3 linked regions of the Xenopus tropicalis genome follow. The protein of the gene in region 1 purifies or fractionates together with the protein of each later gene. This does not show direct contact. Links are inferred from orthologs where the notes say so. Each region holds a gene or a part of one and is shown in the gene's direction. Other genes may lie near its edges. The genes, in order: nfkbia, arrb1 and vcp.

Evidence for each region.
Region 2: the proteins of nfkbia (region 1) and arrb1 purify together in Homo sapiens (affinity purification with western blotting; 3 studies listed by BioGRID and IntAct, with this or other methods). This does not show direct contact. The link is inferred for Xenopus tropicalis from reciprocal best matches to the Homo sapiens genes NFKBIA and ARRB1.
Region 3: the proteins of nfkbia (region 1) and vcp purify together in Homo sapiens (affinity purification with western blotting; 7 studies listed by BioGRID and IntAct, with this or other methods). This does not show direct contact. The link is inferred for Xenopus tropicalis from reciprocal best matches to the Homo sapiens genes NFKBIA and VCP.

The regions. Positions count from the first base shown.
Region 1 is NC_030684.2:109,509,993-109,520,387, reverse strand, and holds nfkbia (NF-kappa-B inhibitor alpha), read left to right. Parts: upstream 1-5,693; 5' UTR 5,694-5,813; coding exon 5,814-6,049; intron 6,050-7,219; coding exon 7,220-7,328; intron 7,329-7,680; coding exon 7,681-7,888; intron 7,889-7,991; coding exon 7,992-8,080; intron 8,081-8,193; coding exon 8,194-8,454; intron 8,455-8,864; coding exon 8,865-8,909; 3' UTR 8,910-9,431; downstream 9,432-10,395. UniProt on the Homo sapiens protein: Inhibits the activity of dimeric NF-kappa-B/REL complexes by trapping REL (RELA/p65 and NFKB1/p50) dimers in the cytoplasm by masking their nuclear localization signals.
Region 2 is NC_030678.2:175,780,483-175,790,877, forward strand, and holds the start of arrb1 (beta-arrestin-1), read left to right. Parts: upstream 1-3,694; 5' UTR 3,695-4,038; coding exon 4,039-4,184; intron 4,185-10,395. UniProt on the Homo sapiens protein: Functions in regulating agonist-mediated G-protein coupled receptor (GPCR) signaling by mediating both receptor desensitization and resensitization processes.
Region 3 is NC_030677.2:212,819,414-212,829,808, reverse strand, and holds the start of vcp (transitional endoplasmic reticulum ATPase), read left to right. Parts: upstream 1-1,225; 5' UTR 1,226-1,338; coding exon 1,339-1,355; intron 1,356-6,092; coding exon 6,093-6,204; intron 6,205-6,403; coding exon 6,404-6,576; intron 6,577-7,465; coding exon 7,466-7,608; intron 7,609-8,170; coding exon 8,171-8,301; intron 8,302-8,810; coding exon 8,811-8,942; intron 8,943-9,195; coding exon 9,196-9,298; intron 9,299-9,659; coding exon 9,660-9,793; intron 9,794-9,937; coding exon 9,938-10,073; intron 10,074-10,168; coding exon 10,169-10,281; intron 10,282-10,361; coding exon 10,362-10,395. UniProt on the Homo sapiens protein: Necessary for the fragmentation of Golgi stacks during mitosis and for their reassembly after mitosis. Involved in the formation of the transitional endoplasmic reticulum (tER).

The DNA.
Region 1 (10,395 bases):
CAGTCGCTGTGGAAACATGTATAATGGCAGGGGCACACCAAGCAGATCCCCTTCTTTCCTCTGCCTGTGTTTTATATATTCTCTGACCTGAATTTTGATGGGTAATAGAAAATGTAAGTCACCAGGCAACTGAATGTTTACATCCATGGAACCAGGGATAAAGACGGTATAGCCTTGCTAGTAATTTGATGGATAGTCTTGCATAAAGGAAGAGAGTTAAGCCTTTCCAGAACCTCTGTTTCACTTATTGGTACAGGTATGGGACCCGTTATCCAGAATGTGCGGGACCTGGTGTTTTCCGGATAAGGGGTATTTCCGCAATTCGGATCTCATACCTTAAGTCTGCTAATAAAATTATTTAAACAGTAATTAAACCTAATAGGATTGTTTTGGCTCCGATAAGGATTAATTATCTTAGTTGGGATCAAGTACAAGGTACTGTTTTATTATTACAGAGAAAAAGGAAATCATTTTTAAAAATGTAAATTATTTGCTTATAATGGAGTCTATGGGAGATGGCTTTTCCGTAATTCGGAACTTTCTGGATAATGTGTTTCTGGATAAGGGGTGTGATACCTGTACATCAAGTATGTAAACATTGGGCAAAATTCTGTACATATCTGACTAAAGTATATTATTTGTGATTACAAATATAAAAGGAAATGGTTTTCATTCACAGCCATGTTAAAGCCACCCCCCACACACACACAAACACACACACACTTTAAAAACTGCAAAGCACCTAGAAACCCAGTCATATGTTTTTGATTAGTAATCCTAGTTAAACATAACATTATGCTATGCTTCTACTTAACAGAGTACACAGCACAGGTTGCTGCAGTTCCTCACCAGCAGTAAAGTACAACCTACTGATCAGGAAGTAACAAAAATAAATAATGGATTCCCGCTATTCAGATAAGTGAGGTAAAAGGTGGTGCAGAGAATATATCAGTGGATGGATCATTTTTCACATATGGGCACTGTGTTGTTAAATAACAGTTTCTAACATTTGCTCCATTTCTGTTAACCAAAAGCATCCAATCTGATGAATGTTTTCAGTGGACCTGTAAAGCTAGAAAGTAAGTATCTTTTACTTTTAACTGAACTCCAGGTTTGCAGCCTGGAGCTTAGCTTGCCTGGATTTTCAGCTGACATTGTACAGTAGTCACATGCAGCTGTTACAGATAGAAGGTTAAATGTAAAGTGATAGCACAGCATTGTCAGGGTCTAAATTGGCACAGTCAGCAGGATGTTCCCCTAGCACAAAGGGGCCAGTCAGCAAACTCCCTGGTGAGAGGACATTCATTCTGCATAGGAAAAATAACTATCTGTAATGATTTGCTCTATTTTTTTAGGGTGAAGACACACTGAGCTATTAGAAGCAGCTACTTTTTCATGGCTACTAAACCCCAGAAAATACCCCGCCATAGACAATACTGAGAATTGCCTCTTCTAAGGGCTGTGGCACACGGGGAGATTAGTCGCCCGCGACAAATCTCCCTTGTCGCGGGCCACTAATCTCCCTGAAATGCCATCCACTGGCGAGAATGTAAATCGCCAGTGGGATGGCATATGTGGCGCCACGATTTCCCTAAAACCCTGGATGTTGCCTTGAGAGGAAACTTCCGCGATTGCAATCCACGTATGCAATCCCACTGGAGATTTACATTCTCGCCGGTGGGATGGCATTTCGTTTGCCAGAGCCCTAAAACACATATAGGGACAATTCTCAGTAAATGATCAGCATTGTCTAATTTAGTAGCCACGACAAGTAGCTGCTACTAGTAGCTCTGTGTGTTTTCACCCCTAATTTTTCAGTTGGGCCCCTCAAGCAGTCACAGGGTCTTTTATCTCTGAAATTACTTAGCTGTTCTGGTTAGTGTTTTGCTTACAGCAAACATAAAATTACCTATAGGTTACACTTTTTATTTTTTACTGTATTGTGTGTGTTGACACACAGTACAAAAAAGTTGTGCAAATTAATGAAAAAATCAGCGAAAATACGCAAGGTACGAAAACTTAGAAAAAATACATTTTTTTTTGTATTAGGAGCCGATCGTACTTAAATAAAATAGGTCCCTATATTTTAGACGTGCAGACTTTGTCGGTATAAGGGCATCTCTTCAATGTATCAACTGGGAAAGGCTTTTCACAGGGTTGAACAGAAAAGAAAAATGTAATATCTTTAAAATTATGCTTAACAAGTATACAGGTCAGTATATTCCCCTTATAAACAAGGAAAGGAATCACAATGCCAAACCTTTATGGTTGCATAAAAGTGTTAGTGGTGAAGGTTGGTAATAAAAAAACATGCTTTTAAAGCATTCAAATTAGCTGGGACAGCGGAAACTTGCATCAGGTACAAGGAAGCAAATAAAGCATGCAAAAAATCAGGCAAGCTAAAATAGAGATGGAAAGGGATATTGCAGTTGGTATTGCTGTTGGTATATATGGTTTATGTATGTGAGTGTATAGATAGGTCAGTATAGGTAAGTTTGAACTTGGTGGAGAGAGCACAAAAATATGGCACTAAGTGCAAATGAAATGTGACATTCTGACAGCACTGAATGGGTTAAATACAATCCATCCATGACTATCCAACTGCTTGTCAGCGCGCACACAAGGTGTATTTTGGGCAGAAAATCATACTTTCTGTGAATGAAATGTATCCCATATGCCCACTTGCAGGTTGATGCTATTACTGTAACTACTTACTTCCATGGGAAGTATTGGAAAGGATTGACTGTCATGAAGAAGTCCAAATCAGATAAAGATTGAGAACTGTACTGTTTTGATTGGGATAATAGATTGCCAAAGCATCAGTGCAGTAACCCATAGCAACCAATAAGCAGTTAGCTTTCATTAGTGCATCTTGCACTGTTGAAATAATAAAACAAACTGTGTGACTAGTCACCATATTGTGATAGATTTGGAAATCTGCCACTGATCTAATTGAGGTGTAAATAATGTATTCTATTACAAATGAAACCACTAAGACCCTTGAAGGGGGTGGTTTATTATAACTTGTTATTTGGCACTTAAAAAAATCAATACTTATCTATCTGCAATACTGCAATCTATCCTGCAGTTTCAAATGTGCCCAGCAGGGACCTTTGAAGAAGAATTAGATATCAGGGGATCTCCTGTTAAACCCAACGTGTTGCCAAATTACTGCTGGGATTTTTTTAAAGTGGCCAAACTTCAGTAAAATCCCCGTGTCCTATTAACGTGCTGCAATCTGTGAATCACATAATTTCACTTTCCGATGTTATGCCCCATTAAGTACATTTGCTGGAGGAAAGTTAAGTTCTTTAGGGGGAACATCAGAGGTACTTTTACACTGCACAGAGTCATACATGGCATTACCAAAAGCAGCAGAGGAGAACTACAGCTTCTATTAGGCTTTGCCAGCCGTACTGGAACTGGCATGTTTATTAAGATAGAAGGATCTGTCGGTTAGTCCTAGAATCTGTCCTCCACCTGCAAATTCCCTAAGCAGCTTTATCTAAAGTCCCTGATTGAAAGTGAGGTTTAATGAGCTTTAAGGAACGTTATATCTGCATACCAAATCCTAATCATGGGGAAATCCCAGTCACTGGGCAGTAATATAACAAAGACATTCTGTGTTTTGCATAACAAAGGCAAAACAATCCAAGCACCCAAACCCAAAGTCTGATGCCAAATTTCAGTACTGTATAGGGTGCACTAAGCTGTTAATATGTTACTACAGATTTTGTTTACAATATTTTAATATGGACAGATATGTATGACTATAAGTAAGTGGGCACTACAGCAGAATCTATACCACTATATAGCCCAACACCAAAAGCCACCAGAAAGATTATAGGGTTCATCACAGCCCTGGATGCAAGTACAAGAGCAATAAGGGACACAAAACTCCTTCTTGGTCATGGGGTTTGCAGTATTTAGGGGAGTTTTGGCACCAAATGCCGCCCCAATGTGGCCTAAGGGATGCTGCACCTACTCTCTTAAGGGTATATTTATTATACTGTGTAAGCCAACATTCGATATTCGGTGTATGTATAGTGGATCGACGAAGTGACCAATATCACAAAAAACCTTGGATATTGGTCGTCTTGCCAATCGGGCAGGGTAAAATATTTTGATCGGGCACTGTTGAAGCGCCTGAGCATAAGCATACGTTAAGGGCTGAATCGTCAAATAGGGGTAGAATTCTTATTGTTTTTGCCAATGGTCGCAGGAAGGTTGATAACTGTAACGTGTATGGCCACCTTAACTTGTAGGTGACCATTAAAATCTAATTGCTTATTAAATGCTATATGCAACATCACAGCTGATTTTGGCTTACACACTATAATATATATGCCCCTTGTGTCAGGGGGGCACATCCAGCACCGGATTTCTAAATGACGCGCCCCGAGGCCGCCCCCATTTGGCGCCCCCTACCCGCCGTGCGAGCGCGCATGCGCAAACCACCTCCTCCTCCCCTGCCGCCGCGCTAATGCGCATGCGCCAAAGTTAAAACTCCCATACAGAGCAGTGGGGAGAGGTCCCCATTGCTCCGTATGGGAGCAAAATTTTGAAATTTGCGTGCGGCGGGGCAGCATGCCGCCCCTATGTTTATGCCGCCCTAGGCCCGGGCCTGGGCACATCACTAGTGCAGAGCGCACAATAGTATAGTCAAAGTATTCCATGATGTTTTTGGTTTACTACTTTTATTCCCACACAAGAATTACGGACAGATAACCTTCGGCAAATGGCAATTAAGTTATTTCACCTAAGCAAGGTACCTGAAACTATTATCGTTATAAAAATAATAACTATTAAATTCATACAATCTCATTTCATCCCAACAATAATGCACAAAGGGGCTTATGTTTTTTTTAAAGCAAATGCAAACTGCAATTAGGATTGCCACCTGGAGGTTATTATACTGGCCTGACCAGTTAAAATACTGCAATATCCCAATGTTAACTGGGTAGAGAGATGAAAATTTAGGAAGACCTGTATTTCTTTCCAGTGGGAAAGCCTTACTACAATGCACAAAAGAGTGCAAAATTCCATGTTTCACCCACAATGCAACGTTATTCCCCAGAATCCCAGTGTAATCTTGCTGCTTATGACGCAATTTTTGCAGCCTTTTGGGGAACATTGCGCGAAAGTTGCATTGTTTGTAAACCCCTCGTTTCTGGAAGTTGCTGAAATAAAACAAAATGGCATTAGCATCAATCATTAGGTGCAAGTCGGTTGTGTGTGTGGGTTAAGGTGCAAAATGCAAATGGCTCCCCGGACGTTGAGCTCTTATGTATTTAGCATAATATCAATAGTCTGTCAGACGAAGGTATATTTAACGCATATAAATGCCGAGTATGATGTGGGGAACTAATGTGTATTTTTGCCCGAATCCCCCCAGTGTGTCCCAGGAATGGTGAGTGTGCTGAGAGGAATGTACATGGAGTAGCTGCGCACGTCTGAAAAAAGGGAATTTCTGAGCCTTGTACATATTTCTGCGCTCTTCCTTTTATTGTACCACAGAACTGGCTCCGTCAGGTTCATTGTGTTCCTATACTGACTTATTCTTGGAATTTCCCAGAGTACATAATAGTTCACAAGTAGGAAACTGAGCTCGGCTCCACCCAGAAAAAACCCCGGCTGTATATGTAAAAGTAGCCTGCTGGGGGAGGGAGCTGCCAGATCGCTACCAGAAGTCGCTCTGATCGGATGGGATTAGTATAGAGGAGGCTACAGCTACAGAACTTCACTATCGCAACTGGGATTCTACAGTGTCTTCTAAGCTATTTTGCGGGGAAGCTCAACAACCGGCCGCCGCCATGTCTGTGCCTTTTCACGATTACCAAGGGAATATGATGGAGGGAGAAGCTAGGGATCTCCGGAAGGACAAACTGCTGCAGGACGATCGCATTGATAGCGGCCTGGACTCCCTGAAGGAGGAGGAATACACGGCTATCATTACTGACCTCAGCAACATGAGAATGGAGGGCCCGCCGGACACATCGAACTATGAGCCGGAGCCATGGAAGAAAGAGGTCAACGAAGATGGAGACACGTAAGTGATAGAGAATGGGTTCGTTATATGGCTGGGGATTGTGCTCAGTATCTACTGATATTGTATAGGGGCGATGAACCTTAGTATTAGTACATCTAAAACCATTACATCTGCCTTGCACAGTGTATATACTGATAAAGGGATAGTACTCTATAGTGCTGCACTAATATATATATATATATAACAGGGACACCTAGGTTTGGGGCAGTGTTTAGTGTAGGATATGTAGATATTTACTAATGCATGACTTCTTTATGGTGAATGCACAGTTAGGTGCATGGGGCAGGCTACACTGCATAACACTGCAATTTATTGTGCAGCTTTTTCATGCAACCATAAACATGCAGTATTAGTAAGTTGTGCAAATAGTTAAAAACCCTTGTGCTTTTAATGCTTTTTTTATATCATGCATTGGTATTTGCAAGCATGCAGCAACGCCGGGCAGCTGTTAGATGGCTTGGTGCATGTTTGTTCTTGGTAGGGGAATTTTTTTGTTGGTGCAGAAGAGACGCCATATCTGTCTGGGTTTTCCCTTCTTCGTGTGAGCTGGAGGGAGGGGGGGTGGGAGGACACCTTGTTCTCTGACTTGCTGCCTCAGAGGGGTGGGGGCTGGCAGGCACCCAGGGGCAGGACTCTGGCTTTGGAAAGTCCCTGGCCAGTAGCCAGGAACACAACTGCACACACACACACTCTCACACTCACAGCAGAAAGCGGAAAACAACAGACAGATCTAGAGAAGAAAAAATCCCCAGACTTACACAATTGCATAGTTGGCTGGGGGAGGGGGAAGTACACACTTGTGTCACCACTGACTAGTATTGCAGCTCACCGACATGCCGCTATGATGAAATAGGTTCATTATGAATTATTATTTCCTATTGCTTGGCAGTTTCTAAATTTATGAAGTTTTATTCACCTCGATCTTTCCCACACACTGAACCTTAACACCACTTCACTTACTGGTTCCCAAAGGGGAGGGGGGGGTACATTTTCTACTTCTGAATGATGAAATAGTAAATACAGAAATGACATTTTGTAATAAGATGCTAAGATTGGAAAGCTAGTTTGTCATTTCCCATAAACCTGCTAGTTCATCTTTTCTTTTTTTATGGTTAAATGACACAAATTTGCTTCTCTATTTTAACATGTCCTTTTTATGTTCCCTTCTAGGTTTCTCCATTTGGCAATTATCCATGAAGAGAAAACCCTGGTGAAGGAGGCAATCCAACGTTCATACAGGGACCATTTTTACCTGAACAAGCAGAATAATCTGCACCAGGTAATTTACTTTTTATTTTTTTTCTAAACCTTGTAAAAACTTTATTTCTAGATTAGCTTGTCATGTGCCACCATTGTCGGTTAGGGCAGGGCTGTCCAACTGGAGGCCCGTGGGCCGGATGTGGCCCTCCAAAGGAATTTTAACATATAAAGTATAATAGAGGGCCAGTTTGTGGAATAATTGACCTATGACATGTAAGTTGGCCAGCACTTAAAATATTAATAGTCAGTGCACTCATAGCATGTTCATGAGGGATAGAATATAGTACAAGCTTATTCTGCAAGTTCAATTTTGTGTTTAATGAGAATGAATTTACTGATTTTTCTTTTTTTTTTTAATGTCTTTTCTGCAGACAGCACTACATCTGGCAGTAATCACCGAACAACAAGACATCAGCCAGTCACTTCTCCAGGCTGGTTGTGATCCAGAAATCCAAGACTTCTGTGGCAACACCGCCTTGCACATTGCCTGCAAGCAGGGCTCGCTTCGGGGAGTTGGGGTCATTTTCCAGTATTGTGAGAAACAACTGCCAGCACTTCTGCAATCTGTGAACTATGATGGTATGTATCAAACTTAATCTATAAACCTTTAGACGTGTGTTGTTGTGCTACTTGGCAAATTAGAATTAGAACTGCCTTGCTAATATCTTTCTTTCCGATGCAGGTCACACGTGCCTCCACCTGGCATCGATCCATGGCTATCTTGCAATTGTGGAAAATCTCATTAATAAGGGGGCTGATATAAATGCCCAGGTCAGTATTCCCCCTACTTCACTTGGCTACATACTGATGTTTCTTCCTGCCATGTCTATTGGATTCAATTTTGCCTCTAGATCTAAGAGAAATTTCTGTTTCCCTCACCACAGGAGCCTTGCAATGGTCGCACTGTGCTGCATATGGCCGTGGACCTGCAGAACTACGACCTGATGAAACTGCTGCTTAAGCACGGAGCAGATGTAAACAGAGTCACGTACCAAGGCTACTCTCCGTGCCAGCTCACATGGGGCAGAAATAACATGCTGATTCAACAACAGCTGGTTGAAGTGACACACAAGAATTTGCAGTACCTTCCAGAGAGTGAAGAGGAAGACAGTTCTGACTCCGAATATGAATATAATGATGATGAGGTGAGACCTAGAGACGAGTTCATCATAGTAATGGCATGGGAATGAATGGCAGTTAAACCAGTTTCAAGCACATGTAATAATTAGCCTAATGTTAAAGAATTTTTAATAATCTGTTGGGTTGTGCAGGCCCTAGCAGTTTGGGCAGCTAAAATAAAATAAAGCATTTAGGGTGAGGCAGGGATGAGATTTGGCAGGGGCTACGGAGACTGATAAAACCATAAACCCATCCATTTTTAGATTAGTGATCATCTTCTTCCTTTTAAGTTAGAAAAAAGTGGGTTCAGTAGCAACCCCTGAGTTATGTTTTGGTCCAACATGTAACTCTCTTGCAATAAAGTTGTCGCTTAATAAGGTTTATGTATAACAATTTTTGGCTCTAAATAGTTTTCTTTCTCTCTTTTGTCTAACAGCTTATGTATGACGACTGCATCATAGGGGGGAGGCCGCTGCATTAGACTGCTGTGTGTGAACTAAAAAAAAGAAACTATAAGGACAGACTCTCATTACTAGAGGACAGCACTGGAGCCAGTGACTTCGGGGTAGAAAAGGATCCTCTGAAAGTTGAGGCGTGGAGGTGCTTGTGCTGTTCCATGGTGACCGATGTTCTACACGAGAAGCTTCCTGTGTTACATATCCTGCCGCATCAAGACCACAGCTATGAATTAAAGAGCTTATTCCTTGAGCAGATAAAGAGAGGATGCTGCAGAAGGAACTCTAATCTGTCATTAACATCATTGTGAGGCAGGGCGACCAATACCATGATACTGACAATGCCCTTCAATGCCAACATGAAATAAATGGCTCATAAATACACTGTGTTGAGGACCTGACTAATTATAGCCAGAGAGCAGATTGTTAAAATAAACTACACACTGTATATAGTGTAAATAAAGTACAGAGATTATTTTTATATGCAAAGTTTATATTTTATATAAAAAAAAGAAAAGAAAAAAAATAAATAAATAATTGTTTCCAAATCTACTCTGCAGATTATTTTTTTTTCCTGCTCCCATCCAAGACTCAAAGAACAGAAAACTTGATATCTTTACTAGGATAATAGGCTCAAAGTAAAATCTTGTGGAATAAAAATAAGATCTACTGAGCAAGGCCCACTTTACCTCTTATAAATGTGCAACCTCCTGCCTGTAGGAGTTGCAGTACTTTCTAGGCCTTTTTTAAGATGTAGCACCCCACCCCCACCCTTTGGAGGTCTTTGCATTGGTCAGGGCTGCCTTAGCTACTTCCAAGGTTAAAGCTATTGAAAAACACTGGTATTTTTAATTCATTGTTCCAAAAATATCAAGCACATAAGATCTAAAAACTCTCTCCTAATCTCAACCAACTTGACCTTTAACCTTTCAGGTGTATCTAAGAATCAAATAGGCATTCCCCCAATTATACCTGGCCTTACCCTACCGCTGCTTCAAGCCCACTTAAGGGTGCCAGCCCCAAGTTTGGGAATCACTATTCTATATGATATTTGGAAGGGAATCTCTTTTAGCGTAGAAAGAGTTGTCTCACCTTAATGTTGCTGGATAAACTTCAGTATAATCCTGGATAATCCTATATATTATCAAGGCCAAAAGCATTTGGAGACAGTATTCCAGAAACATAAGTCTTGAATGCTCTGTGTGGGTCTTAATGGCACTCCTCTGTGTATCCTGTGTTATTCAAAAAACATAAGGGATGGAACCTCAAGCAATACTATCTGGTAACAGGTTCCTAAAGTCTACAGGGCCAGTGGTTCTTGGGATGACATCTCAATATCTTTAAATAGCCTTTGGCAATGGTTCCCAAATTGTAGGGCTGGCTTCTATAGGCTGACCCAATCCTTGGCTGCAGGGAACCCAGCCTAAAGGCCAATTAGGGTAAGACTTGGATAGCTATTGATCTTCTACACACACCCTAAAAGACCAGATTGAAGGTCACTTGAGAGATTTA
Region 2 (10,395 bases), on another chromosome or scaffold:
AGTAGGACTATGGGCAGGGGCTCAGTAGGACTATGTGCCGGGGGTTAATGGGACTATGTGCTCAGATCCCCGTATGAGAGGGCTGGTAGGGCACCATGAAGGTTCCGGCCGGAGATGTCCATGCTGAATAGCGAAGCTTCACACTCACTCAACAAACAGAAGCTTTTGTCTTATCCGCTGCTTAGAGCCCCATCCATTTCTGCCCTTCACTAGATCCACATGGGCTACAAACTGTCCAATATGGAGGGATTAGATGGAAAATCTGAAAGTGAAAATATTGATTTTCATCATCACAAATCCATTTAGGTTTCGAAGCTGCAAGAAAGGGGCAACGGCTCTCAGCACTCTCGGCTGCACTCTCGGCTGCACTCTCGGCTGCACTCTCGGCTCAAACACAAAGCACTTTTGGGATGGAATAAAGGTTTATGATGGGCTGGGTGTAGGGCAGCCATCTTGGTGTATTATGGAAATGTCCCTTGGGGGGCGGGGCTTACTGTCAGTAGGTACAGGCTACGTTTCTTGGCCGGGGTGCCGGGACTCCATGGAGGAAGGACTTTGTGAGCTGTTTGGGAAGTGAGTCCTTTAACGTGTGGCACAAACTGACTCGAGTAGCGTTTGAGTAGCAAATAAACATAGGAGTACGGCCTATTGGCTTGTAGTAAGGCACTGGGGTACGAGCAAAAGTACCATTATTCCTACTCCAAAGTCTGTCCAACCCCATCCTATGTGCAATTACTCCTACTCCGTATTCTATACAATCCCATCAAATGCATAACTATAACTCTTACTCCATTCTCTCCTCAGCCCCATACTCATTAGGATTACTCTTACTTCATAGTCTGCACAACCCCACCTTGTGTATAACTACTCTTACTCTATTCTCTACTCAGCCCCATAGTCTTATCCAACCCCATCCTATGTGCAATTACTCCTACTCCATATTCTGTGCAACTCCATGCATGCTCCATTCCCTACTCCACCCTGTCCTATAAGGATTACTCTTTCCCCAGCTCTGTGTAACTCCATCATATGCAGAGTCACTAATACTCTTATCAAACCCCATCTTATGCGGGATACCCTCTACTCTTCCCTACACAGGAGTATGCATACTACTAACTCTATCCAACCCCATGCAGTGCATTATTACTCTAACTCCATACTAATTACCCCATCCTATGCATGACTACTTATAATCCACACTCATGCAGAATTCTCTGTGCTCTCCTCAACCCATACGCTATTGCCCTACTCCATGCTGGTCCTGCTGTTTGTACCTACTCCTACTGCACACTCGCTAATTACTCCCTACTTCTGCACAGCTTAATGTATTACTATGCTGTTTTTGTATGAATCAATAGAGTGTCCCACCCAATCCTATTTATGACGAGTCTTACTCCAATCTTGGCCTGACCTCGCTGCCTGTTTGTTCCCACTGATTTGATTTACTTTTAATTAGAAATTCAAACCAACGAGAAATGAGCCTCATACATCAGAACGATCCGGGCTCTGCTGAGCGTCGGCGCCCCCCTCTCGCCGCTTGGTGTTTGTTCAGCAACAAGACAAGTCCCTGGACCCCTAAACTTGTTCCTAGCAACCAACAGCCCCGACTGGGGGCAATAGATCTCTAGGCAGTAGCCTGTAGAACCTGCATGTTGTTCTTCCGCAGTGGCCTTTAGTCAAGTCTATTCCTTTTTGGACGGCGGTGTTAATCTTTCCGCATTTGTTTTGTGACCTCAGACATGTTTGTCATTGTAAGGCCGATGGAAACACTCAAATATTTATCCCCCAGTTTTTAAACCCCACTGGTGTTTGTTGGCAGGAGAGGGGAAATGAGACAATACATGGAGGCATGAACATGTTCCTGCACTTGCCCATGCTTTCCGAGACATCCCTCTTGCCCCCATTGCGCCCATTCACACTGGGGAACCCTGGAGCTACTGCCACCCTGGACCTTGGGTTCCCGCATCAGGTTGGGTCAATGCACTAGGCTGGCACCCAATGAACTCTCTGATATGGTAGGGGCATTAATACACCCACTTCTGTTGGTCCTTCCATAGTTTCCCTTTGGGTGGTCCTTGCGGGGTGACACCCAAAGGTGTTTATACCTCGTACTAGACCAGGCCTCACAACATGGCATTTATGGGCACAACTCCATGGCATATGGAACGGAAGTTGTTGTTGGCTTTTGCAGCCACTGCCTGGCACTGAGCTCCTCTCCTGAGTTTACTTCTGAGTTATTTTCATATCTCTCCATAGTTTCCCTTTGGGTGGTCCTTCCGGGGTGACACCCAAAGGTGTTTATTCCTCGTACTAGACCAGGCCTCACAACATGGCATTTATGGGCACAACTCCATGGCATATGGAACGGAAGTTGTTGTTGGCTTTTGCAGCCACTGCCTGGCACTGAGCTCCTCTGCTTAGTTTACTTCTGAGTTATTTTCATATCTCCCCATAGTTTCCCTTTGGGTGGTCCTTGCGGGGTGACACCCAAAGGTGTTTATACCACGTACTAGACCAGGCCTCACAACATGGCATTTATGGGCACAACTCCATGGCATATGGAACGGAAGTTGTTGTTGGCTTTTGCAGCCACTGCCTGGCACTGAGCTCTTCTGCTGAGTATTTTTCTGTGTTATTTTCATATCTCTCCATAGTTTCCCTTTGGGTGGTCCTTCTGGGGTGACACCCAAAGGTGCTTATACCTTCCGTGTACTAGACCAGGCCTCACAACATGGCATTTATGGGCAAAACTCCATGGCATGTGGAACAGAAGTTGTTGTTGGCTTTTGCAGTCACTGCCTGGCACTGAGCTCTTTTGCTGAATTTACTTCAGCATATCTCTCCATAGTTTCCCCGTTTGGATGACATTTAGCGGCTTTGATTTTATTCCCAAAATATAAACCAGACATTCATCTCCATGGATTGTGACCTTACGTTCACTCGCCCTGACTATTCCCAAACCCCTCAACGGAATTTATTTCTCTATTTTCTCCAGAGATTGATGCTTTTGGCCCACATCCAGACTTGGGGTTTTGTTTTTATAATACTCTTGTATGTGTTTTTGTATTTGTATGATTTAAAGGCAAAGTATTCTATTATTTGAATTGTGTTTTGTTTTGTTTATTTTGCCTGTTTCTGGTCCTGACTACATGCACCTCTCCCCCAGGCCTACACTCTAATTCCAACAGCAGAGATAGGAACCCTGCTTACTGGGCTGCCCTGGGAAATATGTTGTACAAGCAAAGCTAATTCACCTTTAAAGCATCTTGCCATACTTTCTTTATTTTGGTCCTGTTTCCATCATTTCCCACTGCTTCTATCCTGACCTACTGTCTCCATCTTGCCCTACTGTCTCCATCTTGCCCTACTGTCTCCATCTTGCCCTACTGTCTCCCATCTTGCCCTACTGTCTTCATTTTGCCCTACTGTCTCCATCTTGCCCTACTGTCTCCATCTTGCCCTACTGTCTCCATCTTGCCCTACTGTCTCCATCTTGCCCTACTGCCTCCATCTTGTCCTACTGTCCCCATCTTGCCCTACTGTCTCCATCATGACCTACTGTCGCCCTCTTGCCCTATTGACCATTGCCCTATCTTACCATTCTTCCTATCCCACTGTCTCCATCATATCTTACAATCCCCATTGTATCTTGCTGTTGCCATTTTGCTGGGGGGAATATTTGGGCCCCCTATCTCTGTCTCTGCATTCCCGCTGGCTGGGGAGGGTCTCACCCATACCCGCGGGAGGCTGCAGAGATTTGATATGCTGGTGTTGTGCCCGCGGCACGCTGTACTGCCGATGACGACACGAGCCAATCAGACTTGCACGCAGGGCATAACACAGTAAATGGGAGAATTTTGATGCAGCTGCTTGGATTGAGAGAGAGCGAGAGAGCGAGAGAGCGGCTGAGATTCCAGCCCGTGGGTAGTCGCTGCCATTGGAGAGAATAAAGGAATCAGTGGGGGGGAGAGAGCTGAGAGGGAAGGGACCGTCGCACACCTCGCTGGCTGGCAGGGCTGCAGTGATGCCGGTGCCTAGATGGATTACATGTGGATTGACAGCCCGTACCTAAGGATCAGAACCGTATTGGAGGAGTCGGTTCCTGCTTGCGTGGTGGCACCGCTGGGAATCCGCTGTGGGGAGCTGGAAGCCCACAAGGCCGCGCCAATGGAGAACGTATTTCTGTGAGTAAGGACAGGTCTGTGGCACAATGTGTGTCGGACTGGGCACAAGGAATCACCCACAGCGATGCCCCCTCGTGCCAACATGACCCCCGGGGTGTTACCTCTAATGAGCAAATCCCACTGTTATTCCCCTTAATGCCCGGTGCTTGCAGTGCCCCCTCTTTCTGTGGCCGGGCTGCCTTTAGTGCCCTGCAGTTTGTGTGGCCCCCAAGCTGTATGCAAAGGGACCCTCAGGGATTGGCTGTAACTGTAGTATAGTGTGTATAGTAAGGCAAGATGGGGCTCGGCATAGGGGCTACAGTGCTGGACAGTGTGCAGAATAAGGTAAGGTGGTGCCAGGAGAAGGGGCTCTAACTATGGCATAATGTGTATAGTAAGGCAAGATGGCACTCGGCATAGGGGCTACAGTGCCAGGAGAAGGGGCTCTAACTATGGCATAATGTGTATAGTAGGCAAGATGGCACTCGGCATAGGGGCTACAGTGCCAGGAGAAGGGGCTCTAACTATGGCATAATGTGTATAGTAAGGCAAGATGGCACTCGGCATAGGGGCTACAGTGCCAGGAGAAGGGGCTCTAACTATGGCATAATGTGTATAGTAGGCAAGATGGCACTCGGCATAGGGGCTACAGTGCCAGGAGAAGGGGCTCTAACTATGGCATAATGTGTATAGTAAGGCAAGATGATGGTAGGTGTACAGGCTGTAACTGGGGGGGGATGCTATGAAATGTAGAAATATGTAATAGGCTGCAGGGGGGCCCCGTAACTTGGCACAACCCTGCCCTGTTCTGGTATAGAGTTTGCACCCTTTGTGCACTGGCACCTCATTCCCAGTGGAACCCATTGGGCACGTAACCCCTAAAGGACTTGTGTCACTGGGAAGCTCTTGGAATACAGAAATGACGTCACAATAGTGCGGCCAATAATGTCATTTAATGGGGCTCTTGGCATTTTAGCAGCTATATGGTCGATAGGGTCCAAATTATCTTAGCAACCAGGCAGTGGTTGGAATGAGAGACTGGGATACGAATAGAAGTGGGACTGAATAGAAAGAAAAGTTACAGAGCTGTAACAATAAAACTGTGGCCGCACAGAGCAATGGGTCATTGGTTCCCAAGAGCACAATGGAGGCAATTCATTGGCTGAGTGACAGTGGGATGTGCAATCTGGCGGGGGGGGGGTGGGGGTCATATAATTAGATTAGGGCTGATAAGAGGATTAGCGTTAGGGAGAGTGGGATAAATATATAAGGCGCTTTGGCTGAGCAATGAAGCCTTTGGGGTAATTACCTTCCTTATCCGCTGGCCCAATCCGGGGCAACTGGAAGTGACCTGGATATTTAGGTGCTCTAATACCATCCAAGGCTGTAGTTGTATAACCAGGCACCCATGGGTGCTATAATTGGGCTCCCAAAACCTCTATTCGAAGTCTGGGAGCCCATTGGCCCTGTGACTTGTATCTTTCTGGGTGCAATTAAGGACTCAGCAGCAGGGGAGGGGGGTGACTGGTCTGGGGCCCAATCACAGTGCAGGGACGGGGCCATAGCCATTGTCATAGGACTGCAAAAGGTACAGGGTTTGCTGGTGAGATGGGCAGGGGTCTGGGCAGGTAAGAGGGTAACAGGGCAGACTGGGGGTTTTGCTATGTATGTACCTAGCCTTGGTTACATGGATTCTAGGGCTCAGGGCCTGTGTGTGGGCGGGGGGGCTAATAACCCAGGCTCCATTGTGGGGAAAGCCCTGCTGATAGCATGTGGCCCAGTCATCTGTCGGACCTGCCAAATATCCTGCATTTTTGCCCCCCGTATATTTAATGGTGATATAAACCCAGCCATGATGCTGCCCCACGGCGCCCCCTAGTTTTGCTATAGAAGCTGCCAAAAACCATCATTACAGATGCAAGGAAATTCCCCAATGAGAATTGTACTGATAAATAAGTTGATTATAAATGCAAAAGAACTGCCCAGTGAGAATGCTGATTCCCAGCACTGTGTCAGGCCCCTTGCTGGTACCTTACATATAGAGATAATGATGGCATTTTCTCCCCTCATTATATGGCACAGGAATCAGACATGGGGATAAAGGGACAGACTTGTTCAGTGCTGGGAAACTGTGCTTATTGCTCCCAACTCCAATTGCAGGAACAGAGAACAGGGAGCCGGATTTACTCACATCAGCTGGGATTCTCATTGGAGGATTTTTCGCATGTTAAAGCAGTCGCTGGCTGTGGGGATTTGGGGGAAAGTTTTATTGTGCAATATTGCTTTAAGAATACAGCCCTGATGTTGCTGGACTACAGCTCCCAGCATGCCCCAAGCTTCATTATATGTTACATTATTGTGGGATTTGTAGCCCAGTAACAACTGAGTAACGTTGGGTTGAGCCGCGCTGGGCAGCAGGGTTTGTATCCCCTTTAACCTTGGGTGAGCCAATGAGAGTACATGGTCAGGGAATAATCAGGAGTGGCTGGGACATGGCCATTAGGGGGGCACAGGGGGAGTCCAACCAGTTGTTATATAACTGCCCCCCCAGGTGAGCCTTTGCCCCCCCGCCAGTCATATGAGTGCATTTATTAGGTTACCATGGCGGCACCTTGGCACTGTATGTGGGCACAGAGCTGGCATCGGGTGTTGGATTGCTGGCAGGATTCCTTATCACCCTGGCAAAATATTTGAGGATTAAGAGGAGTTTAATTGCTCATTGTTAGCGTTTGGAAGCAAATTCACGGCGGTAGGCGTGGCGCATTAACCCTCGTTATACCGGAGGGGCCCCGGGTGTGTTCCCTTTATCCCAGTGTGGGGCTCAGTCCCTGAAGCCCAAACCCCCCAGCGCTAAACATGACACATAGGGTTTCATCATAGGGAAGTGAGGGCATAATCCCCGGGCCCCCCAATATTTGTACCATCAAGAGGCACAGGGGGGCCCAAGAGAAATAAAATTGTTATTGGTTATTTGGAGTGGGTGAAATTTGGGTGCAATGTTGGCACAGTTTTAGCTTTATGGGTCGGGACTGGGATATGGGGTGTGTCTGTGTGTGTTCTCATTGGGGTCCCATTTCGCATGTTGGCAGGATCCTCCCCCTGGGGGTCTAGGTGACCAATGGTAGTGGGGTAACTATAGTGGGCAAGATTTCCACACTGAAACTTACCATGCACATACCATGGGGGGCTGAGCCTAGGGGTTCTGCCCCCCCCCGGGTAGATATGCTTCTACCCAGTGGGTAAATAATTGGGGCTCCCTAGGGTGGAGGGCCCTGCTAACTTAGTACAGGTATGGGATCCCTTATCCGGAAACCCCTTATCCAGAAAGTTCTGAATTACGGAAAAGCCATCTCCCATAGACTCCATTATAAGCAAATCATTCTAATTTTTAAAAATTATTTCCTTTTTCTCTGTAATAATAAAACAGTACCTGTACTTGATCCCAACTAAGATATAATTACCCCTTATTGGGGCAGAACAGCCCTATTGGGTTTATTTAATGGTTAAATGATTCCCTTTTCTCTGTAATAATAAAACAGTACCTGTACTTGATCCCAACTAAGATATAATTACCCCTTATTGGGGCAGAACAGCCCTATTGGGTTTATTTAATGGTTAAATGATTCCCTTTTCTCTGTAATAATAAAACAGTACCTGTACTTGATCCCAACTAAGATATAATTACCCCTTATTGGGGCAGAACAGCCCTATTGGGTTTATTTAATGGTTAAATGATTCCCTTTTACTCTGTAATAATAAAACAGTATCTGTACTTGATCCCAACTAAGATATAATTACCCCTTATTGGGGCAGAACAGCCCTATTGGGTTTATTTAATGGTTAAATGATTCCCTTTTCTCTGTAATAATAAAACAGTACCTGTACTTGATCCCAACTAAGATATAATTACCCCTTATTGGGGGCAGAACAGCCCTATTGGGTTTATTTAATGGTTAAATGATTCCCTTTTCTCTGTAATAATAAAACAGTATCTGTACTTGATCCCAACTAAGATATAATTACCCCTTATTGGGGCAGAACAGCCCTATTGGGTTTATTTAATGGTTAAATGATTCCCTTTTCTCTGTAATAATAAAACAGTACCTGTACTTGATCCCAACTAAGATATAATTACAGGATTTTTAGCAGACTTCAAGTTATGAAGATCCAAATTACGGAAAGATCCCTTATCCGGAAAACCCCATTCTGGATAATAGGTCCTATACCTGTAGTATGGGGCCCAGGGATTCCCCGTGGCACACACTGATAGATGCCAAGTATAATGCCCAGTCCTACTCCAGGGCATGGGAATTAGTTGGGTGTCCTCCCGCTGTTGCCATAACGACTGCTCAAGTCGGATGAGCTGCCGGACACCTTCCTCACTTGCTAATGCGATCCAATTAGAACTATCCGTTCCGTCGGCTAATGATCCGCTGGGATAAAGATAATCAAAGAGGAAAGTAAATGAGAGTGTGAAAGGGCGGCTCATTAATGAGAGTGCAAAATACCCACAAGGCAAAGCGGATTAGGGAGAGGATTCCTATTGCCGGGGGGGGGGGGGGCACAATTACAGCACCGGGGGGGGGGGCAATAAACTGACCCAGTTTCATGGAATCGCCTATGTAATTGTTAAGGGCCACAAAGAAATGAGCGACTGTAGTTGTAACTGTGACAGTTGCTGCCAAAAGTGCCAACCAGGGTGCAAAGGGCACAGCTCCATGTTGTGGGCACTTAGCACCCATAGGTGCAGGTCAGACACAAGGATGTGGGGCAGGGTGCAAACTGCAATAAACATGGGCAAAAGAAGCAACGGGAACCTATAATTACCGCTTGGCTATGGCAGGCATTAAATACAGTGCCTGTCGGGCACAAGTGCTCTGTAACTCACACTATGGGGGGCAAGTGCGAGATCTTTCGACCAATCACGTGTGACTTAATCCTTCTCTCTGTTATTCACATCAAAGGGTCCCCTGTCGGGCCCTTATCCAGCGACGGAAAGATGAGCGGCTGGGTGCCAGCCTGTGTGCCAGGCTTAGCAATGTCACGCCCGGGCGCTGCCAGAGGGGAGCGGGCAGTTTACTTTGGAGCCGAGGGATTAGAAATAGAATATTATATTAGTAACAGAGTCATTGTGCTGCCTGATTGCATCTGCCTGCGATCATGCGGAGTGACCCTGTCTGTGGCCCTGTCTGATCCATCTTAGTGTCGCCGCACCCTTCCCTTTAATTATATAGTCATATAGTGCTATTAAAGGGGAAGATCAACTAAAGAGTGACTTACATCTCTGTACAGGCTATGAGCAAACTTAGGGGGCTGTTCCTGCTGAATTGTGCTTAGTACAGGGGAATCCCTATGTGCCATAGTTTTATGGTATCTCTCTGTACAGGCTATGAGCAAACTTAGGGGGCTGTTCCTGCTGAATTGTGCTTAGTACAGGGGAATCCCTATGTGCCATAGTTTTATGGTATCTCTCTGTACAGGCTATGGGCAAACTTAGGGGGCTGTTCCTGCTGAATTGTGCTTAGTACAGGGGAATCCCGATGTGCCATAGATTTATGGTATCTCTCTGTACAGGCTATGAGCAAACTTAGGGGGCTGTTCCTGCTGAATTGTGCTTAGTACAGGGGAATCCCTATGTGCCATAGTTTTATGGTATCTCTCTGTACAGGCTATGAGCAAACTTAGGGGGCTGTTCCTGCTGAATTGTGCTTAGTACAGGGGAATCCCTATGTGCCATAGTTTTATGGTATCTCTCTGTACAGGCTATGAGCAAACTTAGGGGGCTGTTCCTGCTGAATTGTGCTTAGTACAGGGGAATCCCTATGTGCCATAGTTTTATGGTATCTCTCTGTACAGGCTATGAGCAAACTTATGGGGCTGTTCCTGCTGAATTGTGCTTAGTACAGGGGAATCCCTATGTGCCATAGTTTTATGGTATCTCTCCCAGTATAACAGGGCCACAGTTTAATCACTGGCAGGGCCTACCATTTAGCCCAGATGTAGGCAGAACTGTATATTAGACAAGCAGGATGCCTAAGCTATATATATATTGTATATTTACACTAGGGAGTAGATGACGTTCCCCCCACCTATCGCTGAGACCAATTCCATATTGAGCATGAAATCAATTAGTTCTCTTTAGCAACGAGATACTCGTTTAGCTCCCTTATTAACAGAAATAAATCCTTTATCCTTGATGTTTTCGATTCCGTGCTTGTCACCCAAGGTTAGA
Region 3 (10,395 bases), on another chromosome or scaffold:
TTTTTTACCTGTTTATTAGAATATAAAAACCAAGAAAAGATTTCAGCGGCCAAACGCAAGGTGGAAACTGGAGGTTCCGAGAGGCCCTAGGGCCAAACGATTGAATTAACCCGATATTGGGCACCTTAGATGGGAATATCAGGAGAAGAGCCACTTGTTTGGGGAGGTGTATGGCCACCCTTTAGGTATATCTGTTTAAAAACAAACAAACATATATTCCTATGTTTATGTACCTTGTTCCATGTGTAAAGAATGGGGACATATTTCCCCTTTAATGGCTTTAAGGATTGGAAGGAATGTTTATATGAATAGAAACAATTCCCACCAGGTAACTTACTGCCAGTTAGTCCAGCAAAACACCATCAGTTCCCCACAATAAACTGAACCATTAACCCCCTGTGTGCCAGCTTCTCTCCCAGTGCCAGGCCTGCCCAATGTGTGATATTATGGCACTTTGTGGGTCAATGTTACCTCAGCTCTGGGCAGGTAGGGGAAATTACCCACAATGCATTGCCTTACAGACAGGGCAGATAATGAGCGATCACTGCCATGTGAGGGGCAATAGATTGAGAGCTTGTAGCCCAGGAACTGCAGGGGGAGGGGCTAACATGTAGTACAGTTGGGGCACATGTATTACTCCTTATGGGTGAAGCTACTAGTGGGTGCATGGCTACAGGCCCAGGGGCCATATCACATTACAATGGCCAAACTTCATTTATTGTATGTGGCTGGGCGCCATATTCCATCTGTTGTGAGTAAATTGCCCTGTCACGCCGCTCAGCGAGTTGACTGACAGTCGGCCAACCTCAGAATTTGTTTCTCTTTTGTGCGGCTTCTTCCTGGTGACACGCCCCCTTTTCCGTTTTTTGACCAATCCCAGTCGGCCAGACGCGCAGTTGCTAGGAGTTAGTAGGACAGACGCGGTAGGCTCCTTCATTGCAGTGCGCCTTCATCTTTACGGACCAATCAGAAGCGGCGGCCGGGTAGGACGCTAGAGGCGTGGCCTATATCCCATCATTCCTTGCTCATCACCCGTCAGTTCTGGGCCCCGCTGATTGGTTGCAGTATTAAGACGCAAGCGCAGACGGCGGACAGTGATGCTGCACTTTACCCTCCTGTGTGTGTAAGCCCCGCCCAGCCGCCGGCGCTCCTCCTCCTTTCCCTCGGTCAGTCACACAGTGAAAGCGAGAGAACGGACAGCGGGGCAGCGAGCGGAGCAGCGAGAGGGAACAGCGGGACTCACAGGCGGGACGGGACCGAAACACCTGATAAGCGGCAGGAACCGAGCGCTCAGTTTCTCCTTACCGGCAGCGGAGCGGCACAGGCCGGACACCGAGCATGGCTTCCGGATCCGAGTGAGTTACCGGGGAGCGGGCTGAGGGGGGTCTGTGGGTGCCGGTGGGACGCCGCCGCCGGGAGCTCCGCCCATTGGCTGGCACAGCGGGACCCGGGGTGTGCGGCCTACTGCGGCCTCCTCATCCTGCTGTGTCATGCACCCCTCACAGCGGCACCTACCGGCAGGACTACAACTCCCAGCATTCCCTGCCAACAGCCGGCCCCAGTGTTATCTGCTGGGAATGGTACCCTGCCTGCCGGGACTGACCTACAGGAAACCTGCCGGGAGAGCCTTGTCTTTTCCAGTGGGTCACCTCTGGCTGCCTTGGGGGATGCTGGGAGTTGTAGTCCAACATCAGGATTAGGGTGCCCTGCCTCTAATATCATCATGTCTGGGGCCCTAGCTGCCCTGGGGGATGCTGGGAATTGTAGGCCACTAGCAGCATGGGTTTATACTGTATGACATTAGTGGGGTACAGGGAGTCTGCAGTAGTACCAGGCCTTGTACAGTGGCTGATCTCCAGCTGCTGTGGGGGATGCTGGGAATTGTAGTCCAACATCAGGATTAGGGTGCCCTGCCTCTAATATCATCATGTCTGGGGCCCTAGCTGCCTTGGGGGATGCTGGGAGTTGTAGTCCAACATCTGGATTAGGATCCCCTGCCTCTAATATCATGTCTGGGGCCCTAGCTGCCTTGGGGGATGCTGGGAATTGTAGTCCAACATCAGGATTAGGGTGCCCTGCCTCTAATATCATCATGACTGGGGCCCTAGCTGCCTTGGGGGATGCTGGGAGTTGTAGTCCAACATCAGGATTAGGGTGCCCTGCCTCTAATATCATGCTTGGGGCCCTAGCCGCCTTGGGGGATGCTGGGAGTTGTAGTCCAACATCAGGATTAGGGTGCCCTGCCTCTAATATCATGCTTGGGGCCCTAGCCGCCTTGGGGGATGCTGGGAGTTGTAGTCCAACATCAGGATTAGGGTGCCCTGCCTCTAATATCATGCTTGGGGCCCTAGCCGCCTTGGGGGATGCTGGGAATTGTAGTCCAACATCAGGATTAGGGTGCCCTGCCTCTAATATCATGTCTGGGGCCCTAGCTGCCTTGGGGGATGCTGGGAATTGTAGTCCAACATCAGGATTAGGGTGCCCTGCCTCTAATATCATCATGACTGGGGCCCTAGCTGCCTTGGGGGATGCTGGGAGTTGTAGTCCAACATCAGGATTAGGGTGCCCTGCCTCTAATATCATGCTTGGGGCCCTAGCCGCCTTGGGGGATGCTGGGAGTTGTAGTCCAACATCAGGATTAGGGTGCCCTGCCTCTAATATCATGCTTGGGGCCCTAGCTGCCTTGGGGGATGCTGGGAGTTGTAGTCCAACATCAGGATTAGGGTGCCCTGCCTCTAATATCATGTCTGGGGGCACTAGCCGCCTTGGGGGATGCTGGGAGTTGTAGGCCACTAGCAGCATGGGTTTATACTGTATGACATTAGTGGGGTACAGGGAGCCTGTAGTAGTACCAGGCCTTGTACAGTGGCTGATCTCCAGCTGCTGTGGGGGATGCTGGGAGTTGTAGTCCAGTCACCGTATCTAGTTGAACGCTGGTTGCTATAGAGAACCTGACATTGGCAACACAGGGTACCCTTTGGGTATAATAGGAGCCATAGCTGGGCATGAGGGTGGGTATCCATGGAAACCTGCCAGAAATGAGGCAACTTGCCGGGAACTCTTATTGGCCCTTTGTCTGCATCCCAATCTGAGCTATGGCTGATGTACCCTATCAAATATGTATAACCCTGCCCATTTGGGCCGCTGGCACACTGCCTGGGTGTGAGTATGTGCCTGTGGCCCAGTGCCAAGGTGCCAGTGGAACTGCTTTATGATGCTGGCACCGGTGCCCACAGCTGCTGGCACTCACAGCATAGAGAGGGGCCGTGCCACCTCATCCTAATCACTGGCCAGTTAGTGGGGTTTGGGCAGGACCTACCCCTGCCATTACAATGGTACGTTCCAGAACAGGCAGTGCAGAGAGATACACCAGGGTTATACCAACTGCAGCTGGGGGGGTTATATCTGTGTGCCCATGCCTATTGGCTGACCCTCGGGCCCCCATGTGCTCTGGGCCTGCTCCCTGCTGGGTCCCTGCGCTTTGCCCAATGAATGGTTCTCCCCTGTCAGCACAAATGCCCCTGCCCCCAGAGGGAACGGCCATGCTAAGCTTTCCTGCCCCTCGTGAGAGAAGCCCCCCCCCCGCACTACAGTCTGACCTTCTGGATCCCCAGCGCCCACCTACCTACCTGCCCCTGGGCTCTTGGGGTGCTCTCCTCCCCTTCTGCTCCACATTTATATAAATCTCTATACATTTGCCCAAACCTGCCCAATATTATATGGAGTAGCCCCCCCATCCCCCCTCCTTGTCCCAACTCTCTTTATAACCGGTGCCAAGCGATACCCTTAGCAACCTGGGTGTTATTATCCCCCCCCCTGAGGTGAGAAGTGGAACTGCAGGAGACTGGAGGAGCCCCACACACACTTGGCTGATAGTGATACCCCATTGGGAGATGCTGATGTATCCAGGATCCCGTACCCTGTGGGTAAATGGCATCTGTGCCCGCTAATTGGCAGGAAATAGGGCTGTACTTCTGGTTCTGACTCTTCAAACAATGTAGCCCTTCCCCAGTTCTGCAGCTGGATTCTGCTACATAGTTTCAGGAGTCGGAACCAGCAGTGCAGAGAATATAAACAGAGGCTGCCGTCTGTAGCAACTCAATTTAAAACCATTTGATATGGAAAATGAATAAATATCAAGAGTTTGTGTTTTTATTGTCAAAAGGTTTTTAGTTGGAAATCCCCTAAATTCCCTCACAGTCACCTCCTGGGCTGGGCCCTGCCTGTCACTCATTCCCAGTCTCCTTGGTTACATGTAAATATACCTGGGTGGGGGCAGTACCGGTACTGGTATCAGTTCTGGCCCCACTGGGTATCTGTATGGGGCCAGGTATTGTGTCTGTCTGTCCCTTTCCCTTCCCTGCACTGCTGGTTCTGACTCCTGATACAACTCCCCAATATCCATTCATCCCTCATTCTCACTGGGTTTATAGTTATGTGTAACTGTCACTGTCCCTTTCCCTTCCCTGCACTGCTGGTTCTGACTCCTGATACAACTCCCCAATATCCATTCATTCCTCATTCTCACTGGGTTTATAGTTATGTGTAACTGTCACTGTGTCTGTCCCTTTCCCTTCCCTGCACTGCTGGTTCTGACTCCTGATACAACTCCCCAATACCCATTCATTCCTCATTCTCACTGGGTTTATAGTTATGTGTAACTGTCACTGTGTCTGTCCCTTTCCCTTCCCTGCACTGCTGGTTCTGACTCCTGATACAACTCCCCAATATCCATTCATCCCTCATTCTCACTGGGTTTATAGTTATGTGTAACTGTCACTGTCCCTTTCCCTTCCCTGCACTGCTGGTTCTGACTCCTGATACAACTCCCCAATACCCATTCATTCCTCATTCTCACTGGGTTTATAGTTATGTGTAACTGTCACTGTGTCTGTCCCTTTCCCTTCCCTGCACTGCTGGTTCTGACTCCTGATACAACTCCCCAATATCCATTTATTCCTCATTCTCACTGGGTTTATAGTTATGTGTAACTGTCACTGTGTCTGTCCCTTTCCCTTCTCTGCACTGCTGGTTCTGACTCCTGATACAACTCCCCAATATCCATTATGTTATGTGTAACTGTCACTGTGTCTGTCCCTTTCCCTTCCCTGCACTGCTGGTTCTGACTCCTGATACAACTCCCCAATATCCATTCATCCCTCATTCTCACTGGGTTTATAGTTATGTGTAACTGTCACTGTGTCTGTCCCTTTCCCTTCCCTGCACTGCTGGTTCTGACTCCTGATACAACTCCCCAATACCCATTCATCCCTCATTCTCACTGGGTTTATAGTTATGTGTAACTGTCACTGTGTCTGTCCCTTTCCCTTCCCTGCACTGCTGGTTCTGACTCCTGATACAACTCCCCAATACCCATTCATTCCTCATTCTCACTGGGTTTATAGTTATGTATCTGTCACTGTGTCTGTCTGTCCCTTTCCCTTCTCTAGTTCTGACTCTAGAAACAATGTAGCTGAAATCTGCTTACATCCGTACACCTTTTTACAGCAGTTCGTACTTGCTTTATGGCAGCAGTTCTGGATAGGAGCTGGGTATCAGAGAGGTACAGATACCATAGGAGTTGGGGCAGTTGCCGCTGGGCGGGAGGGGGAGTTGGGGCAGTTGCCGCTGGGCGGGAGGGGGAGTTGGGGCAGTTGCCGCTGGGCGGGAGGGGGAGTTGGGGCAGTTGCTCAGCAGTCTGTGCTGTTAGTAAATAGGGAAGGAGCCAGCCAGAAACGAAACCAAAAGCTGCGCTCCCTGCGTCACCGCTTGCACCCCTGGCACTGACTGTACATTCCTAAGGCTTTAACCCTTGCTTATCTCTGTTCATCTTCATACAATAAACAATCCTTTAGATTGTAAGCTCTTGAGCAGGGCCCACTAATCTTATTTTTTACTCTGTTACCCTTGTTTGTTAAGTTATTGTAAGACCATAAATAATAACTATATATATTATAGTAAATGCTAAATAATAAATACAGTGCCAGACTCAGTGGCTGGGGGGTGCGGGCCCATAAGTACTGGCAGGCTCACACTCCATTAAGATGAATGAATAATTTAGCTAATTAACCCCCCCCCCCCTCTCTATTCAGTTCCAAATCAGACGACCTGTCTACAGCAATCCTGAAGCAGAAGAGCCGGCCCAATCGGCTGATTGTGGATGAATCCATCAATGAGGACAACAGTGTGGTGTCTCTGTCCCAGGTACGGCCAGTGCCAGTAGCACAAGCGCCTTGTTCCCGGGGTCTGTGTGGGACGGGGGGGTGGGGGGCCAGGGTTTAATGGCACCGGGGGGGGGGGGGGGGGCGCTGGGGTTTAATGGCACCGGGGGGGGGGGGTTGCTGGGGTTTAATGGCACCATTGGTGGACGCCGGGGTTTAATGGCACCGGGCTCTTGTTTCAGGCCAAGATGGATGAGCTGCAGCTCTTTAGGGGGGACACCGTGCTGCTGAAAGGGAAGAAGAGGAGGGAAGCCGTTTGCATCGTTCTCTCAGATGACACCTGTTCCGATGAAAAGATCCGAATGAACAGAGTCGTCCGGAACAACCTGAGGGTGCGGCTTGGAGATGTTATCAGGTATCACTGGGGATTGGGTTTGTTACTCGTGGCTCAGCTATTGGGCAGCATGGGGTATTGGGCCTGGTACTGTGGCTCAGCTATTGGGTATCATTGGGTCTGGTAATCATGGCTCAGCTATTGGGCAGCATGGGGTATTGGGCCTGGTACTGTGGCTCAGCTATTGGGTATCATTGGGTTTGTTACTCATGGCTCAGCTATTGGGTATCATTGGGTTTGTTACTCATGGCTCAGCTATTGGGTATCATGGGGTATTGGGCCTGGTACTCATGGCTCAGCTATTGGGTATCATGGGGTATTGGGCCTGGTACTCATGGCTCAGCTATTGGGTATCATTGGGTTTGTTACTCATGGCTCAGCTATTGGGCAGCATGGGGTATTGGGCCTGGTACTCATGGCTCAGCTATTGGGCAGCGTGGGGTATTGGGCCTGGTACTGTGGCCCAGCTATTGGGCACCATGGGGTAGGGTCTGGTACTGGGGCCCAGCTATTGGGCACCATGGGGTATTGGGTCTGGTACTGTGGCCCAGCTATTGGGCACCATGGGGTAGGGTCTGGTACTGGGGCCCAGCTATTGGACACCATGGGGTATTGGGTCTGGTACTGTGGCCCAGCTATTGGGCAGCATGGGGTAGGGTCTGGTACTGTGGCCCAGCTATTGGGCAGCATGGGGTAGGGTCTGGTACTGTGGCCCAGCTATTGGGCAGCATGGGGTAGGGTCTGGTACTGTGGCCCAGCTATTGGGCAGCATGGGGTAGGGTCTGGTACTGTGGCCCAGCTATTGGGCACCATGGGGTAGGTTCTGGTACTGTGGCCAGTGGTTGCTCTGCCATTGGCCACTCTGAGTTCTGTTACAGTTCCGCTACTCACTGCTCCTGTTTCTGCGCAGCATTCAGCCGTGCCCGGATGTGAAGTACGGCAAGCGGATCCATGTCCTGCCCATAGACGACACAGTGGAGGGCATCACTGGGAACCTGTTTGAGGTGTATCTCAAGCCTTACTTCTTGGAAGCCTACCGGCCAATCAGGAAAGGTACAGACTGCGCATCCCGGTGCTTTACCCTCAGTGCTACTTGGAAAGGCCCAGTTCTCTGGGCTCCGGTACCACCTAAAACATTTAAAGCGATAGTGACACATTCTGATTCTAACAGGGCCGTGTCACCATGTCCCTGGTTGGGAGAGCAGCAGGCCGGGCTTTGATAAGCTGGGCCAGTGTTCATAGTTGTCCTCCAGCCTATCAGGACATTACGTCCCCCTCCCCCCTGCCAAACTCTCAAGGAACCATGGTATGGGAGAGCCGGACAATTTTGGGGGATGTGGTTGCTGCAGTTTCCGAAGGGGCTCAGTGTTGGCTAAATGGGATTAGTTTCCCTTTAATACTTGTGTATTTGCACTGCCATTGTGTGAATTGTGCTCCACTGTAGGCACTTGTCATTGAGACTCATTGATAAGGATGTGTTTTACTGTTGGACTGATCCAGCCCATATCTGATGGGAGGGGTCAGGCTCAGAGAGAAACTGGACCCGGATCAGTATCTTTGCCCCAAATGTACATGCTATGTCCGACTGATTTTAATGGCACTTTCCTGCCTCTAGGTGACATTTTCCTGGTGCGCGGAGGGATGCGAGCAGTGGAGTTCAAAGTGGTGGAGACTGATCCCTCCCCGTACTGCATTGTGGCCCCCGATACTGTAATCCATTGTGAAGGGGAGCCCATTAAACGTGAAGTAAGTGCACTGTAAAGGCTATGGGGGGAGAGAAATGGGGGGGGGGGGAGCATGGGAAGTTCATACTGGTGCTGCAAGGCTAATAATTATATGGATGTAGCACTCATGGTGGGAGGGGGGCACTGTGCCAGGGGTATGGAGCTGGGCAGGGTACCTAGGCATGTAACTATTCTGCCTGACTTTACTGCCACCTACTGTTAGAATCTACTCCCTACAGTCCCATAGTGATTAGAGTATTTCATGATTATTACACAAACCCCCGTGATTCTGCTGGTCACATGATCGAGGGGTATGGGGTGGGCAAGCCAACCGTCCTGCGTGATAACGAGAGACTGAAATGTTGGCGTTTCTTTTTTTTAAAAATTGTTTTTATTGAGTTTTATTTAACATAAAGAAAGAAAAGGAAGAAGAGAGAGGAGATAGGAAAGAATGGAAATAAATAAAATGGCATGATACGGTTCTTGGTGAAATGTTGGCGTTTCTTAACCCGGCCGCACTTTCTCTTGCAGGATGAGGAGGAGTCCTTGAATGAAGTGGGCTATGATGACATCGGCGGCTGCAGGAAACAGCTGGCCCAGATCAAAGAGATGGTGGAACTGCCTCTCAGGCACCCGGCCCTCTTTAAGGCTATTGGGGTGAAGGTAAGACAATGGCAGTGAAGGGTGGGGGGCTGCTCTCTGTAGCTGTGAATGGAGGGGGGCAGAGATGTAACTGCTGCGTTTCCCTATTACCTATATACAGAGATCATAGGCTCTTGTTCCCCATTGGATGTAGTTTGTCCTTTTATCTTAAGGGAATATTAGGGGGATGTGGGGGCTTATAGGGGAAGAGCCAATGTGCCCCAGTTACTGCCTGTGCGCTTTGTGTACTGATACCTTTTGTTCTGCCTCTCAGCCTCCCAGGGGCATTCTGCTGTACGGACCCCCAGGCACTGGAAAAACCCTCATTGCTAGAGCTGTGGCCAATGAAACCGGAGCTTTCTTCTTCCTGATCAATGGTGAGAGATTCTGTTCCATCGGTCCCCTGCGCACTAGCTCTGTGTCCGCCATATTGTGCAACCCACCCAGCTATCAGTGATGTCACTGCACCCCCCCCTCCCAGCCAGTGGCATCAATGCATCAATCCTGCTGAGATGCTGCTGGGGGTGGAGGGGGTCAGTCAGAATCTTTAAAATGGCCAAAGACTTCAGGTTGGGACGGATGCAGGATGGAAAGGGGGGGGTAAGGGTTAATATGGCGATACATAGATACCGATCCTTTGCTCCTGGGCCCCCTGTTGCACAGCCCTGGGTGTTTGGGTGAGCGTTGCCGATTGTTGGGGTGGGCCAATAACTGGGCTACTTCTATGTCTCCGTCCAGGGCCCGAGATCATGAGCAAGTTGGCCGGCGAGTCGGAGAGCAACCTGCGCAAAGCGTTTGAGGAGGCCGAGAAGAACGCCCCGGCCATCATCTTTATAGACGAGCTGGACGCCATCGCCCCCAAGAGAGAGAAGGTGCGTCCCCAGAGGGAGCGGCTCACTTTATCTTTATTTAGGGGGGGCAGAGCAGCCTTTGTGATACCCCCATAAGAGGGCAGATTCTAATGCCCTGCCCCAGTGGCACAGAGCAAGACGTGACTTCTACTTTCCCTCCCTCAGACACACGGAGAAGTTGAGCGGCGCATTGTCTCTCAGCTACTGACTCTGATGGACGGGCTGAAACAGCGGGCACACGTCATTGTCATGGCCGCCACCAACCGACCCAACAGCATCGACCCGGCGCTCAGGCGATTTGGTTAGTCCCTGCTTCCCTGTGTCATTTGTACCTATATTTACCCCTGTTATTGCCCCACTGTGCCAACTCTCCGTTCAACCTGCTTGTGCCCTCAGGTCGCTTCGACAGGGAGGTTGATATCGGCATCCCCGACTCCACCGGGAGGCTGGAAATCCTGCAGATCCACACCAAGAACATGAAGCTTTCCGACGACGTGGATCTGGAGCAGGTTGGTGGCATTTCCCTTGTTCCCCGGCAGTCTGGGTGCAGTTGCCCCTGTGATTTTAACCCTTTCTGTTACGCCCACAGGTTGCAAATGAAACCCACGGACACGTAGGTGCCG